2 linked regions of the Sus scrofa genome follow. The protein of the gene in region 1 interacts with the protein of each later gene in a pairwise test. Links are inferred from orthologs where the notes say so. Each region holds a gene or a part of one and is shown on either strand. Other genes may lie near its edges.

What was found. The genes of interacting proteins can lie anywhere in the genome.
Region 2: the proteins of THAP1 (region 1) and C3H7orf50 interact in binary tests that used the Homo sapiens proteins (3 or more experiments, as listed by UniProt). The two-hybrid records come from large-scale screens. The link is inferred for Sus scrofa from reciprocal best matches to the Homo sapiens genes THAP1 and CHLSN.

Annotation. Positions count from the first base shown.
Region 1 is NC_010459.5:11,768,346-11,776,419, reverse strand, and holds the start of THAP1 (THAP domain-containing protein 1), read left to right. Parts: upstream 1-3,098; 5' UTR 3,099-4,029; coding exon 4,030-4,100; intron 4,101-5,930; coding exon 5,931-6,126; intron 6,127-7,559; coding exon 7,560-7,934; 3' UTR 7,935-8,074. UniProt on the Homo sapiens protein: DNA-binding transcription regulator that regulates endothelial cell proliferation and G1/S cell-cycle progression.
Region 2 is NC_010445.4:740,903-748,976, reverse strand, and holds the start of C3H7orf50 (uncharacterized protein C7orf50 homolog), read left to right. Parts: upstream 1-3,606; 5' UTR 3,607-3,757; intron 3,758-8,074. Other genes in the region: uncharacterized protein LOC102163231, read left to right, coding at 1-71, 384-797. UniProt on the Homo sapiens protein: Hormone secreted from the intestine in response to cholesterol, where it acts to inhibit cholesterol synthesis in the liver and VLDL secretion,leading to a reduction in circulating cholesterol levels. Acts through binding to its receptor, GPR146.

The DNA.
Region 1 (8,074 bases):
CCCACTGCGCCAGGCCAGGCATCAAACCTGAACCTCTGCAGTGATGCAAGTAAGCCACTGCAGTCAAGATTCCCAACCCACTGTGCCACAGCAGGAACTCCCAGGTTTTAATTCATTTTAAAATACAAGATTTTAAAATAACTACTTGGAGTTCTCTGGTAGCCTAGTGGTTAAGGATCTGGCATTGTCACTGCTGTAGATTGGGTTCAATCCCTGGCTCTGGAGCTTCTGCATGCCAAGGGAATGGCCAAACACACACACACATGCAAAACCACTTGGAGTTCCTGCTGTGGTGCTGTGGGTTAAGAAATCCACCTACAGCAGCTTGGCTTGCTGTAGAGGCACAGGTTCAATCCTCAGCCTTGGGCAGTGGGTTTAAGGCAGTAGGTCACAGCTGCAGCTCAGATTCAATCCCTGGCCTGGGAACTTGCATATGCTGCAGATGTGGCCATAAAACAAAAAAAAACACACTCTTTTAATCAATTTTAGAGAAAACCTATAATTTATATCTATGTGAAATTTAATCTGTTTCACTAATCCCAGAATATTAGAGATGTAAGAGACTTTAGGAATGGGCAAGTGTCTGTGTTTTCTCTGTGAAACATCAGATGAAAACTATAGACAACGCCCTAGAAAAATGCCTATATACACATGTGTATAGCTTGGGTTCATTTTCAGGGGATTCAAAGAGCTGAAATTAGGATTTAATGGCTTCCAAATTAAGAATTCCCCAGTTCCTACAGCCGCACGCTCCACACGAAGATAATGGGCCCAGAAAGAATGAATGCTGGGATTTCTTTTTTTCTTTTTCTCTTTTTGCTTTTTAGGGTCACACCTGCAGCATGTGGAAGTTCCAGGCTAGGGGTCCATTCGGAGCTGCAGCTGCCAGCCTATGCCATAGCCACAGCAACTCGGGGATCTGAGCCGTGTCTGTGACCTACACCACAGCTCACGGCAATGCTGGGTCCTTAACCCCCGAGTGAGGCCAGGGATCAAATCAGTGTCCTCATGGATATTAGTTGGATTCTTAACCACAGAGCCACAATGGGAACTCTGAATATCACTTTTCCACTCAGCAAATCAATTTACAGACCATACAGTGAAAATTTAGCTTGGGGGGTTGTTTTTACAAAGAAAAATGTAACATTCATTTCAATTCAGTGATATGTATTTCTTAATTACATGCAATTCACTTTACTAGTAAATTTACCATTTTGAAGGAAACATTAGGATAACAATCAACAAATAATAGAAATTTTTATTTCATTTCCAAGTTATAGATAGCCAGAAGAAGAAAGGGGAGGAGGAGCAGAACTTGGCAGAGGCAAATCCAAGCAAACTGAAATAAACCACAAACTTCAAAAGGGCTCCTGACTCCCCCCGCCCAACTACTGATACTTTCTTTCATGTAGATATTCCTCAGTCCTAGGATCCCACAGCTGATGACCCAGCTTCCAAACTTACCCACCCCTCCAAGGCCACTAGTCTGTCAGGGGACATAGCTCTTTTTTTTTTTTTTTTTTTTTTTTTTTTTTAAGGCCATCAGCATCTCGGTAAAAAGCACCACCATCCATCCATCTAAATGCTCAAGCCAGTGGGAAGTTCTCTGGTGGGTTACTGGTTGGGATTTGGCGCTTTCACCCATATGGCCCCAGTTCTGTTCTGGGAACTGAGATCCCACATTAAGCCGCTGAACGTTGTAAAACAATTTTTAAAAAAATGCTCACACCCAAAACTCAAGCTTAAATTACCCCTGATATCTTTATCTTAATTTTTTTTTTCTCCTTTTAGGGCCTCACCCGCAGCATATGTAGGTTCCCAGGCTAGGGAACTAATCGGAGCTGTAGCTGCTAGCCACGGCCACAGCAATTGGGATCCGAGAAACACGTGAGGTAGACCACAGCAACCGGGTCTCAACCCATTGAAACCCGAGTCCTCACGGATACTAGTCGGGTTTGTTAACCACTGAGCCAGGAGGGAGGGGGAACTCCTTCCTCATTCCTTTTTTTTTCGTCTTTTTAGGGCCACTAATGGCCACACTCGAGGCATGCGGAGGTTCCCGGGCTAGGGGGTCTAATCGGGGCTAGAGCTTGCCCGCCCTGCACCACAGGTACAGCACCGCCATTTCCGAGCCGCGTATGCGAACTACACCACAGGTCACCGCAACTCCGGATCCTTAACCTGCTGAGCAGGACAGGGATCCAACCTGCAACCTCATGGTTCCTAGTCGGATTCGTTTCCACTTGCGCCACAGTGGGAACTCTGTGTCTTCCTCATTCTTGTTTCCACTACCAGCAAGCCCTGGTGTTTCTACCTGTTAGCATAGGCATCTACTCCTTGGTCCAAAGTTGCCAATCTCCTGTCTGCTTGCAACAGCCTCTTAATTGGTCTGCTCTTATTAATTGGTCTGCTCACTCACTGTTGCCCCTCCCTGATAAATTCTTGGCATAATAGCCAGAATGACCTTTTATTTTTTTATTTTTTAGTCTTTTGCTGTTGTTGTTGCTATTTCTTGGGCCGCTCCCGCGCATATGGAGGTTCCCAGGCTAGGGGTCGAATCGGAGCTGTAGCCACCGGCCTACGCCAGAGCCACTGCAACTCGGGATCCGAGCCGCGTCTGCAACCTACACCACAGCTCACGGCAACGCCGGATCGTTAACCCACTGAGTGGGGGCAGGGATCGAACCCGCAACCTCATGGTTCCTAGTCGGATTCGTTAACCACTGCGCCACGACGGGAACTCCCCAGAATGGCCTTTTAAAAACGTTTATTAGATCATGTCTCTCCCCGCCTAAAATGGCTCAGCGGCTTCACGCTGCAGTATGCCCCCACCCACTCACTGGGCTCTGCCATTGCAGGCCCCATTCAGTTCCTAGAAGACAGACCTTTTTACTGCCTCCAGGCCTTAGCACGCACTTCTTGTGGCAGAAACCCTCTCCCCCCGACCCGTTGTTTGGTTCTCAGATTTAACATTCCCTTCTCAGAGAGTAGGCAGTGACCCTCTCCTTACTACCCTCATCTCGGCATTCTAATGTATTCAGGCACCTGAGCACACTGTGATTTTATTTACATTTTTATTGTCTGTTTCCCCTTACTAGGACTTAAGCTACGAAGACTGGGCCTATGCTAGTCTTGCTCACCAATTAAAAAAAAAGAAATTATGAGCCATGAGATTACTCAACAGCCCGTTATCGACACAGACGAAAGGAGCCGGCCAAAAGGGCTGCAGCTGTTGGCGAGTCCCAACACGGCACCTGGAGATCATTAAGATAACTGCAGCATTAGTGAGAGAAGCCCCTAGAGACTGGGCTCGCGGTGTGTGCAGGTGCGGGCTTTCCTGGCTAAACTCTTCACCTGGGCTCCGCAAAGCCTCAGAATACCTGAAGCAGGTAAGAGAGGTTAGCGGGCCGGGAAGGGAGTCCACCAAGTTTTACACATCACGCCATCTGGGACCGCCCTTTTAGAGAAACAAGGCAATTATGCAACGACCTCAGCTTTACACCTGTCCTGCTTCAGGCCAGCAGACCCAATAGACGGTAGAGTGCCGCGAATCTGAACCGCCCAGCATAAGTAACCCCAAGCAGCACCGCCGGGGCGGAATCGGTCCTGCGCTCCCACCCCCCTCTCCCAGGTAATTACTCCTTCCTTCCGGAAGCTCGGAGGCCCCGCCCACTTCCGCAACGCTCAGTCCGCCGCGCGGCGGGACTCAGCCAATGGCCTGCTTCCCAAGAAACGTTACCTCTGACCTCAGGGCTAATCAAGAGACAGTAGGACTAACGCCTCGCGAGAGGTGAGGTTGAAGCTGTCTCCGCCATCTTGGAGACGGGAGACGGGCGATGGCTGTGGTCCTTCTGCTAATGCAAACAACAAAACGGACACATTAGTCGCTCCCGAGTGAGCCTCTCGTCATTGTAACTGTTGACCAAAGCTACGGAAGAAGAGAGGGTGTCAAAGTCGAGCGCGACGACATTGATAGCAGCCTCAACTGCCTGCTGGGGCGGCAGAAGTGAAGTAACCAGGACCGGAAGGATGGTGCAGTCCTGTTCCGCCTACGGCTGCAAGAACCGATATGACAAGGACAAGCCCGTTTCTTTCCACAAGTAAGTATCCTGAGCGCCTCCTGGGCCTCGCAGGGGCTGGGGGCGCGCGGCCCTGCTCGGGGGCGGGGCCAGGCGCGTGTCCGCGCGAGACCTAGTGGGAGGGGCGGGGCGCCGTCTGGCGCTGGGACGGGGAGCGGTGGGCGTGCCCCTGGCGTCACCCGCGGCGCTCCGCCCCGGGATGCGCGTTCTCGGTTGCGTCGCCGCGGAGGCTGTTCCTCGCGCTCCAGTTTCTAGCGGAGCTCAGGGTAGCTAGTTCGCGGCCCACCCACGAAGCCTAGAATTCCCGTGAGTCGTGGGGTGTCCAGACCGAGAGGCAGCTGGGTCTCACCACCAGGGTCGTAGAGAAGCCAGGTAGTAATGCCACTTTAGCCGTAAAGTTGAAGAGGAAACAGCCGGGAAGTCACGAACTTTGATCCCCTGCGGTGGGGGGAGTCCAGCATCACAGCATTTAGGCATTGACGTGGGCGGGATTTCAGGGAGGATGTTTTGGACTCTGCTCCTGAGGACTGCTGAGTTTTAGAGAGAGCTCCAGGCTGAGCACACTATGTTAACGGGCAGTAGTGGTACACTGTGCATGATAAAATCAGCCGGGCTGTCACGGACCTGGAAGAAGCCCTCGGAGGGGGACACGTTCCCAGTTCTAGGGCCGGTTTCACCTTAGAGGTCCTAGGAGGAAACAGGTCTCTCCAAAGAAAGCCGAAAAGTAGAGTGACAATGATAATCCGATGTCTGCACGATGGCATTTTCATTCAGCCAAATTCTATATTTACAGATGTTATCACATAAAAAGTGTTTTGCAATAATCTCAACCGTAAATGGATGATAGCTAAAGAAATAAAAGCCAGTGATAAATTATACGATTTATAGCGAAATAATTTCAAGAGCAAAATCTTAAGTATTCCTTCAGTTTGGAGGGTGGGGCCTTTTATGTTTAACAGGGAATGTGGATACATTTTTGTACATTTGGTGTAACACTAGAGAGCTGAGGGAGCATAGAGAAATCTTGAGAGTGTTGCTGTTTCCCTTCTAAGGGGAGAAACACAACACTTCCAGATTCATTTGAGGGGGTGATATCTTAATATTACTCTTGATTTATTAGAATTTCTGAAAGCTGATGGATTGGCCTCCAGTACTTTCAAAGTCAAGGGAGTAGGTCTGGAGGTGGTGACACCATCGCAGGCTGTTCAGCTACCCACCTTCCAATTTTTTTTTTTTTTCCTTCGTCTTTTTAAGGACTGTTCCAGCTGCACATGGAAGTTCCCAGGCTAGGGGTGGAATTGGAGCTGCAGCTGCTGGCCTACGCCACAGCCACAGCAATGCCAGATTCAAGCCACATCTGTGACCTACACCACAGCTCATGGCAACGCCAGATCCTTAACCCACTGAGCGAGGCCAGGGATCGAACCCGCACTTCATGGTTCCTGGTCAGATTTGTTTCGGCTGCACCACAACGGGAATTCTAGTTATAGGATTTTAAAGCAAGTACATTTTTTAATTTAATCACTGCACCAGTACTGGGAGAATATGGAAGTTTCTGGGCCAGGGATTGAATCCGAGCTGTGGCTGTGATCTACACCGCAGCTGTGCAATGCTGGATCGATAACCCACTGTACCACAGCAGGAACTCCAAAACAAGTCCATTTTTAACAAACTAAGGTAATAAAGGCACAACTAAAAACTGTCCCCCAAAAATGAGCAAAGTTAGCATTTTCATCAAATACTCATTGGTGTGTTAACACCAGTATAAGCTAGTTCCTTCCAAAGCAGGAAAGTCTGGATGTGCCCTTTTTTGGAATAAGGTTAGAAAACTGAACTATGTTGTCTTCTTAGGTTTCCTCTTACTCGACCTAGTCTTTGCAAAAAATGGGAGGCAGCTGTCAGAAGAAAAAACTTTAAGCCCACCAAGTATAGCAGCATTTGTTCAGAACATTTTACTCCAGACTGCTTCAAGAGGGAGTGCAACAACAAGTTACTCAAAGAGGATGCTGTTCCCACGATATTTCTTTGTACTGAACCACATGACAAGGTAAGATGTGTTTTAAAATATTGGGGGAGTTCCCATTGTAGTTCAGTGGTTTAAGAACCCGACTAGTATCCACGAGGATGTGGGTTCAATTCCTGGCCTCACTCAGTGGGTTAACGATCCAGGATTGCCACCAGCTGCAGTGTAGGTGGCAGATGCGGCTCAGATCTGGTGTTGCTGTGGCTGCGGCGTAGGTCTCAGTTGCAGCTCCAATTTCGACCTCTAGCCTGGAAACTTCCATATGCCTCGGGTATGCCCTAAAAAAAAAAAAAAGTAATAAAAATAAAATATCAGGTTGTTTTCTGTTTATAAAAGTAATGTTTATTGTGAAAATTTTGAAAATTCGAGCAGTGTTAAGAAAATAAATGTGGAGTTCCCTGGTGGTGCAGCAGGTTAAAGATCCTGTGTTGTCACTACTGTGGCTCGGGTTCAATCCCTGGTGCAGCCTAAAAAAAAAGAAAGAAAGAAAATAAATGTTAGCTGGGACCTATCCCTTGTAAATAACCACTGTTCACTTTAAAAAGTGAAATACTTTTTAAAAATACACAGTACAGTTTATTCGAGTTAAATATCCTCACACAAAGAAGCTCGGTGTAGCTTCATTAACATAAGCTCATTCTGTATTCCTACTTAAATGTCGATAAATTTTATTTTTCTTTATCAGTGATAGTTCAGTTTCAAAGTATTTTCCCCCTAAGTTTTTTTGTCTTGTTTTTTTCTTTTCTGGATTTGGCTATGGAGTACAGTGGATTGATGTGGGATCTCAGTTCCCAGACCAGGGATTGAACCCAGGCCTCAGCAGTGAAAATGCTGAGTCTAACTACTCGAACACCAAGGAACTCCCTCCTACCTCACTTTTAAGTGCTTAGTATTTAATTAAATGTTATTAATAGTGCTGTCATTCTTGCATCCCATTTCTACTTCAGATAGAAAAGTATAATTAGGACTTAAACTATTTTCTTATTTTAGGATGTTTCTCTACCAAGGAAACAAAAAAGTGTATTTTTAAATTCCACAGGTGAATTGTTTTAAACTGGTTTTTTGTGAGTTTTTTTGTTTTGTTTTGTTTTTTGCTTTTTAGGGCTTTCAAGCTCGTTTAGGAAAGCATATGATCTATCCTGGAAATGTTCTATGTGATTTTAATTGATTTTTTAGGGCCACACCTGTGGCATATGGAGGGTCCCAGGCATGGGTCAAATCGGAGCTACAGCTGCTGACATATGCCACAGCCACAGCAACTCAGGATCTGAGCCACATCTGCGACCTACACCACAGCTCACAGCAATGCCAGATACCCGACCCACTGAGTGAGGGCAGGAATCGAACCCACACCCTAATGGATACTAGAAGGATGCTTTTCCGCTGAGCCACAACAGGAACTCCTAAACTGTTATTTTAGTTATGGAATTCTGACAAGCTCTGCATCTTTGTTTTAGAAGGAAGATCTTCTGGAGCCACAGGAACAGCTCCCCCCACCTCCTCTAACACCCCCCATTTCCCAGGTTGACGCTGCTATCGGATTACTCATGCCTCCTCTGCAGACCCCGGATAATCTCTCTGTGTTCTGTGACCACAACTATACTGTGGAGGACACCATGCACCAGAGGAAAAGGATTCACCAGCTAGAGCAACAAGTTGAAAAACTCCGAAAGAAACTCAAGACTGCGCAGCAGCGATGCAGGAGGCAGGAGCGACAGCTGGAAAAGTTAAAGGAGGTTGTACACTTTCAGAAGGAGAAAGACGACGTCTCAGAGAGGGGTTATGTGATTCTACCAAATGACTATTTCGAAATAGTTGAAGTACCAGCGTGAAAAGTGAAATTTGTTATTGGGTTTTAATGGGGCAATACCACATACCCTCTTCTAGCCTGTAGAGGAGTTTCATTTGAAAGAAATTACACTTGATTACTTGTATAAAAACAATTCAGAATATTTTTTTAAAAGAATAAATT
Region 2 (8,074 bases), on another chromosome or scaffold:
CGTCACGAAGAAACAGCCGTGCTTCCCGGGCTTGGCCCTTGGCGTCTGGACGCTGCAGAGACCCTCTGAAGGTGCGCACCAGCCCAGCACTGGGGACCTTGGGAGTCGGCCGGGCGTGAGGGGCCGGAGGCAGAGCTCGGGCTGGAGTCGAGGCGGCTCTGCACTGGCCAGCTGACCTGGAAGGTCCAGCAGCGCAGCCTCGGCACCGGCCCCCAGGGTATGGACCACAGCGGCGGGCCAAGGAGCTCCCGCTGGGCAGTGGATCGGGCAGAGCCGAGCCCCTGACCTCGGACCCCACATTCGCACGTGATGCGGGGCTGCGGGTCGCACCCGCGTCACCTGCGCCGCTCATCTGGGTCGTGCTATGATTCGCATGTCCGCAGGTTCTCCAGCGACGCCAGCGGAGCTCGAGGGGGCCGCGCGGGGCCCTGCGCCCCCCCAGCGGGCCGGGCGGGGGTCGCTCCCGGAGCCTGACGTCGGAGCGCAGGAGGCCCCGCCCCCACGCCGCGCTCGCGCCCACGTGCCGGCCGGCGGCTGAGTCACGCCTGCGCGGAAGAGCCGCTCCCGCCTTTCCCGGGTCTCGTCGCGGGAGCGCCGCGAGCCTCCCGCGGCCGCTGCCTTCGTCTTTGTCCGGGAGCTCCCCCGAGCCCCTGCTCTCCCGGAGGTGCTTCTGGGGCCTCTCCTCCTGCCTCTCTGCCGGGCTGCAGGCCTCTGCGTCTCCGCTTCACCCAAGCGAGCCTGGTTTGGTAGCAGCGGGAGCGGCTCGTTCTCAGATCCAAGAGGCTCTGCTGGGTTGAGGGTGTGACGCTGAGAGTGGTGGTTTTCCTTGGTTTTCCTTCGCATTGTGTTGTCCCTTTGTGTACACAGTGGTCTTCCGTTGAGAACTCGTGATATGTGATCGGCTGTAATTTGGGGCATAGGATAGTAGGGTCCTGTAGGAAGCCCTGACGTGTTCTTCTTTCAGCAGGCTAGCTGCACCAGCACTTGATCCTCAGTCACTTAAATGCGGTTCCAGACATGGAGATGAATTGCAGACGGATTTTATGGAGTCCCTTCCAGGACTGCTGTTTGTATTCATGCCTCCAGTGTAACCTTTCAGGGTTTCAACCGCAAGATGCGACCACTTGGTAGCCCTAAGCCCAGGAGACTGTCAAAATCTGGGCGTTCTCATCGAGGCTCGGTGGTTAACGAATCCGACTAGGAATCATGAGGTTGTGGGTTCGATTCCTGGGCTTGCTCAGTGGCTTAAGGATCCACTGTGAGCTGTGTGCAGGTTGCAGTCTCGGGTGGGATCCCGAGTTGCTGTGGTTCTGGCGTAGGCCAGTGGCTACAGCTCTGATGGGACCCCTAGCCTGGGAACCTCTGTGTGCCCCGGGAGGGGCCCTAGAAAAGGCAAAAAGACCAAAAACAAAAAAACCCTGTCAACATCTGTTTTCAGGTTCTCAAGTCTTTCAGCTGTTCCTTGCAGAACTGATTGGCCCGAGTGAAAAATGACTATAACTGTAAGGCTTACTTCTCTGGGCTTCCTTCTTTTCCTCCTGTTTGTTGGTTCCATAATATTTCACTGTAAAATGAGCCCTCTGATGTCTTGACATAGCTCGTTTTTTTGTTCTCTGTATTTGTTATGCATATTTGACTATGTTTAAAGCTGCTCTCTATGAGAGGCTGATCTGAAGCGCCTGGAGCAAACTTGGGTTCACGGCTTTGTGCAGTGAAAACAATCTGTTGAAAGCAGATTGGGTTAAACCAAAGTGCGGTGTTTTCTGTGGGCACCAAGCAAGACGTCCAGGTAGCTAGTGTTCAAAAGACCCAAACTCCTTGAAGGCTTTAGGGGAAAGGTCTTTCAGAACACGGGTGAGTGAGGGGGTTTGGGGTGTGTGTGAGGTCATTGGGATGCAACATCATCAACCTTCTGGTTCCACCTGGTTTGGGGTCTGCACACTTGCAGGCAGTATGAGATTCATTTCTTCCACCTGGCGTGGGTTTCAGTCTCTGCAAAACAGCTCAAAGAACATGGGTCAGAATATTACCTACAGCCCTGGAGGAGGAACTAAAGTTCCTTGATTTTTGTTTTAGGGCTAAGCTATTTTGTCTTGCCTGACTATCTTCATTTATTTTTGCATTTTTCTCACTTAACTGATTAAATTTTTTGGAACTGGAAGTTCCGGTTGTGGCTCAGCAGTAGCAAACCGGACTAGTATCCCTGAGGACTCATCTTTGATCCTTGGCCTCATTTAGTGGGTTAAAGATCCCACGTTGCTGTGAGCTTTGGTGCAGGTCTCAGATGCGGGTTAGTTCTGGCGTTGCTGTGGCTGTGGTGTAGCTGGCCAGCTCTGATTCGACCCTTCGCTCGGGAATTCCACATGCCTCAGATGTGGCCCTAAAACAAACAAAAACAAACCTTTTTGGACCTAGAAGGCCAAGGAGGCTCAAGTTTTCTATATGGACAAGAGGCAGGTGGAGGCCATTGGGTAGGGGCGTTGTGGGGTGGGAGTCTGTTGCATTCCAGGAAGCTGCCATAGAGTCCTGCTCAGTTGCATGGCAAATTACCAGAGCTAAAAATAAAAGCAAAAATTAAAAAAACTACATCAACGCTTCTGTATATTTAAGCTTCTGGATGAACTTTTTTTCCCTAGATGGTCGTGAAGTCCTCCAGAGCAGCTGGAAAACGGAATGGCTTTTCCTGGAGTCCGTAGCGTTGGACGTGCTTGCACACATGGTTCAGAAACTCTACCCCCAAGTGTGTGCCTTATAGACTCTCACGTGTGTGAACACAGGACCAGCAGGGGCTCTGGTATAATGCGGCCAGATTAGAAACTGGCTGGCCTTAGAGAGTGGAACTAAAGAACCCTGCCTGGCTTTCCTATCTCCCATATCGAGAACCTTCCCTTGATAGCATAACCCCGTCCACCTGTCTCCTCCACGTGGTCTGCAGCTTAAATGTCCCCACAGGCCAAGTCTCTTTCTTCCCTTTCTCAGTGTTGGGACTATGAAGAAATCAACAACGGTGTAACCCCTCAGTTTCACTGGCAGTGGGTTGCCTCAGACCTCAGATACCCCGCGAGGTCAGGCCCACCTCCGCCTTCAACCCTCACCCCAGGTGACCTCACCTGGACTTAACAGGTGTCTGCATGCACCTCCGATGCATTGGGAACCCTGGCGCACAGGTGTAATGCGGAGATTGCACAATCTTGCTCCCACTTTTAAGTGAAAGCAGTTAAAAATCTACCTCTGGAGTTTCCCTCCTGGCTCAGCGGTGACAGTCCCCACTAGTATCCATGGGGAACGCAGGTTTAGGCCTCACTCTGTGGGTTTAAGGATCCTGCGTTGCCCTGAGCTATGGCATGGCTGTGGTGTAGGCCGGCAGCTACAGCTCGGATTCGACCCCTAGACCAGGAACTTCAAATATCCATGGCTAGCGGCCCTAAAAAGACGGGGGGGGGGAAATCTATGTACATTTTTATCTTGTTCAACATGAACCCCGGTGGAGCAACGGGCCTGCGCAGCTTCGAACTGGGAGGTCCCGCACGTGGAGGGTTGCCTGGCAACCGCAGGCTCCGGGCACCAGCGGCGCCCAGCAATGACGCCACCGGCGCGTCTGGTCGCGTCCCGGCCCTGGCGGCTACCGCTCGCCATTGGCCAGCGGGGAGACGGAGGCGGGCCTCAGCCAATGGGGGGGGGGTGCAGCTCCGGAGGGCGGGTCCCCGTTACCTGGGCGCCGCGTCTGCCGGAAGCCGGCGCTGGAGGCCACGCGCAGGTAGGCGAGGGGGGCGGTCTGGGGCCCGCCCCACGTGGGTGCGAGGTCTCCGGGGCTGGCGGGTGCGCAAGGAGGGCTGGGCGCTTCCCCGGTCGGCAACCTGGGGGGAGCGCGGGATCCCGAGCGCCGGCCGCTCCGGGCCTTCCCCACTGCTCGGGGGTGCCTCCCGGTTGTCCGCAGTGTTGGAGCTGAAGCAGCCCCGGCCCAGCGAGCCAGGCTTGGGGGTGGTTGGGGTGCGGTTGATTTTGCTTAGCCCCGCAGGCGGCGCCGGGCCGAGGAGGGGAAGGGAGGGAAGCTCTGGAGGAGGGTCCCAGCAGAGGGGGGGGCCTAACCCGATTTAGGTATTTCACTAGTCCTTCCGGACGCCGAGTCGCACGTGGGATGGAGGGGCCGGGGCGGAGGCCGCAGACGAGTTGGAGGCTTTTGAATAATCCAGGGGAGCGGGGCGGCTGGACCAGGATCCTCAGGGTAGAGGCCGTGAGGGGCCACTTCTGGAGGTGCTCTGGATGCGCCAACGGGGTTTACCGTGGCGTGGAAGGCTGTGCAAGACGGGAGTTGTGGGTGACACCAGGGTGTTAGCTGGAGCTGAAAGCGGGATTCCACCACGTGACCATTCTTGGGGGGGAACAGACCGTGCAGGAAGGTCAGGTGTGCAGAGGACGGTGGGGTGTGGATTGGACCCCTCCGTTGAGAGGGTGTGTGTGGGTGATACACACCTGAGCAGAGAAACCTTTAGCCCAAGGGTGGTGTTTCCAGCCACAGGGCCTGAAGAGAGGGAGGGGCTGAGCCTCCGCCCCTTCGGAGTCGGGGCGCAGGGTGCAAAGGGGTCGGAGAGTGGAGGGTGCCTGGGAAGCTGAGAGGAAAGAGCAGGGGAGATGGGAGGGACCAGTCGTGTCCGTTAGATCCACTCGGTGACTCAGAGATAAACAGGACCGGCTGTACTTGGTTTTGCTGTACTTGGTTTCAGGCGGTGAGGTGGGATTTTTGTCAGTGACCACAAACAGGGCAAGGCTGACCTGAGGCCATAGGGAGGTGGCGGCTGTGCTCAGGGAGTCGGGGTGGAAAATGACCAGAAGCATGACCGGGGCTGGTCTGTGGGAAACCCCCCTGGGCTTGCTGGCTGGTGTTCAGGAAAATGGGGCTCCTCCTTGACCCCAGAGGCTGAGGGAGCAGGCCCGTCTGCAGGTGTTGGCCGGATCCTTTGGCAGCCTGGATTTTTCTCAGGTGCTTTTCAGGGGACCTAGAGTCGCTGTTAAGATGTGGCCTCGAGCTGCTGGAAACTGCTTTTTTGTTCAAGTCTTTTCAGGCCCAGGTGGAGGCCTAGAGAAGGGCTCAGGGAGCCTGGCTGGGCTCTGGTCAGGAGCGTGTTAGCGCCTGGCTGTCATTGGTGGTTCTGGTCACATTGGGTGGGAGGGTGGCTGGAACGGAGTTCGAGAAGGCACCAGCGGACTGTGCTTGAGGGTGGAGGATTTCCTACTCTGACACAACGGATCTGCAGCATCTGCAGCACCAGGTTGCAGGTTCAACCCCCAGCCTGGCACAGGGGGTTAAAGGATCCGGCATTCCCGCAGCTGCAGCGTAGGTCGCAGCTGTGACTCAGGTCTGATCCTTGGCCCGGCAGCTCCATGTGCCTCAGGGCAGCCAGCAGAGAAGAAAATAAATAAAAGGAAGAGGGCGGAGAGCCTGTGGAAAGGGTTTTGGATGTGGGAACTTGCAGTGGGTCTTGTAGAAGGAGGGGCAGTGGATCCCGGGGGTGATGGCCTTGGCATTGGCGCCACAGCGAGGCGAGGTAGTGGGAGGCTCCCGGGAGCAGCTCAGGGCTCTGGAGTGAAGGTCCCCTGCCAGGAACAGGGGAGGGCAGCGGGGAGGAGGAGTTGACGGTCGAGAGGCTGAGAGGTGGGGAGAAGCCGCTGAGCGGGGCTGTGGAAGTGCTGGGCAGCCCCGAAGGTCCCTCAAGCCTGGGGTCCTGAATTTGGACCAGGTTCTAGACTTGGGGTTTGGCCAGGCAGGGAGCTGGGAGTGTACGGGCGGGATTACAGAGGCAGACCGTGCCGGTGAGGTTGTGGGCGTGGGACTGAGGGGTGAGGGCTGTTGAAACACGTAGGGTCACTGCGTTGCAGGGTCCGGCGAGGCCCACGGCTCCCGGAGCTCAAGGGCGCTGGAGGGTGTGAGCTGGGGAGATGGGAGGGGGGCCCCATGGGAGGGGTTGGGGTTGCAGGGTTTCCAGCCTGACCAGTGGAGTGAGGGCGTGGGGCTGCGTAGAGGAGCAGAAGCAGGAGGCCGCTCCTCTGAGTGGGAACCTGGACTCGTCCTGGGTCAGGGTGGCCAGGGCACAGCTGCCGTGCTGGGCAACCCCTGGATCATGTCCCGGCATCTGCCAGCACCCCACACAGGTGGCCCGGGTGTGAGGGGACCTCGGGGCCCCCAGTGATAGCTTCCGATTGGAAAAACTGTTCACCTGCGGGCTGTTCAAAGGCCCCGTGGTGGAGTTTTCCAACCTGGCGCCCCGGCGGCCTCAGCCTGGTGGTGCTGCCCTGCCCTCCTGCTGTTGGTCTGACCTGGGTTATCGCTCTCCTTCTGGTGAGGTTGTTTGATACACAGGACACTTTTAACTTTTTTTAAGGCCACGCCTGCGGCATGTGGAAGTTCCCGGGCTGGGGTGGCAGCGGAGTCCCGACTGCCAGCCTGCAGCACAGCCACGGCCACGCCAGATCCGTAACCCACTGAGCGAGGCCCGGCATCAGACCCGCATCCTCATTGATACTAGTTGGGCTCTTAACCCACTGAGCCACAGTGGGAACTCGCGCTGAACACTTTTGAGTGCATATGTTAGGTTTCTTTCTCTTGTTGGAGAAATTGCTGGAAAGTATAAAAGACGAAAACATGCTTGTCATTCTCCTCCCTGAGCGGCTCGTGTTCTGACGTATGACCTTCTCGTTTCTTTCTCCGCACGCGCCTGCGTGTGACTGAGGAACGGGGCTTGTGTGTGTTGCACATACGTGGGTCCCCAGCCCGTCTTTTCTCTTCATGTGGTCTCCCGGCCGCACCCCACGGAGGCCCTGGTCACCGCTGTCCTGGCGTCTCTTGGGTTGCCTGGCGCAGAGGCCTCCCCTTCCGGGCCTGCTGGGCGCAGTTACGGTGGCGGCGGCGGCGGCTTTGCGGCGTTAGAGGCACCATCAGCCTCTGTCGTGTCGTCGTCGTCCGCACAGAAATCTCTGCCGCCATCACCTCGTTAGGCAAATGCCTCGCCGTCGAGTCCCTGGGCCAGAGCTCTTGATCTGCGTCATGAAACCCCCTGTAGACCGCTGTGCCCTGTGCCCTGCGCCCTGCAGTCAGCGGTTCGTGCTAACGGGCTTCCCTTCACTCTGGCTCACGCCGCATCACACAAGCTTCACGCTTCATGCCATCAGACGGGCTGGGCGATCAGATGCGCCGGGCCGTGTGGCTGCCCCCCAGGTGCGGGAAGGAGGCGGCGGGTGGCCACTCCCCGCCCTGCTCGTCCGAGGCAGGCACAGCTCAGTCTTCTCACTCCTCCTCCTGGAAGGCCTCCCACTTTCCCGAATAACGTGCAAATTGTGACTCTTTTTTGACGTACCGATTTTAGGCCCGTAACTTTCCCGATCGATGCCCCTTAGCTTCTTCATCTGCCCGCCTACCTGCCTGCCTCGCCGGTCAGCAGAAGGGACGTCGGGCACCTGAACCGGGGCCTGGCGCTGGGGGCGCTCAGTAAACAGCCTAGTGACAGGTGGAACGCTGACTCGTTTTCTCTCTCTCTCTCTTTTTTGTCTTTTTAGGGCCGCACCCTCGGCCTGTGGAAGTTTCCAGGCTAGGGGTCGAATTGGAGCTGCAGCTGCCAGCCTGCACCTCAGCCACAGCCACGCTGGATCCAAGCTGTGTCTCGCCCCACACCACAGCTCCTGGCAACGCCGGATCCTTAACCCACGGAGCGAGGCCAGGGATCGAACTCGTGTCCTCATGGATACTGGTTGGACTTATTACCACTGAGCCTCAGCAGGAACTCTGGAACAGGGAAATCTTAAGTTGGTGCTGCTTATAGAAATGAACCAAAATCACTGGGGTTTTTGCAGAAAGGCCCGTGAGAAAAGAGAGCCCAGGGAAGGGTCTTCGTGCTGACCCCAGGCCAGCTGCGACCACCAGAGGCTGGTGGTGAAGTCCAGCCTGGCTGGTGGGCGCGCCGGACACCGTTGATGGCTTCCAGCAGCCACGAGTTCGGCAAAAGCACTTTCCCTCCTTCCTTCCCTGGCTCCAGGCCTAAGCTTCCACGAGCCTGCTTCTGTCTCTGACATCTGCTTGTTC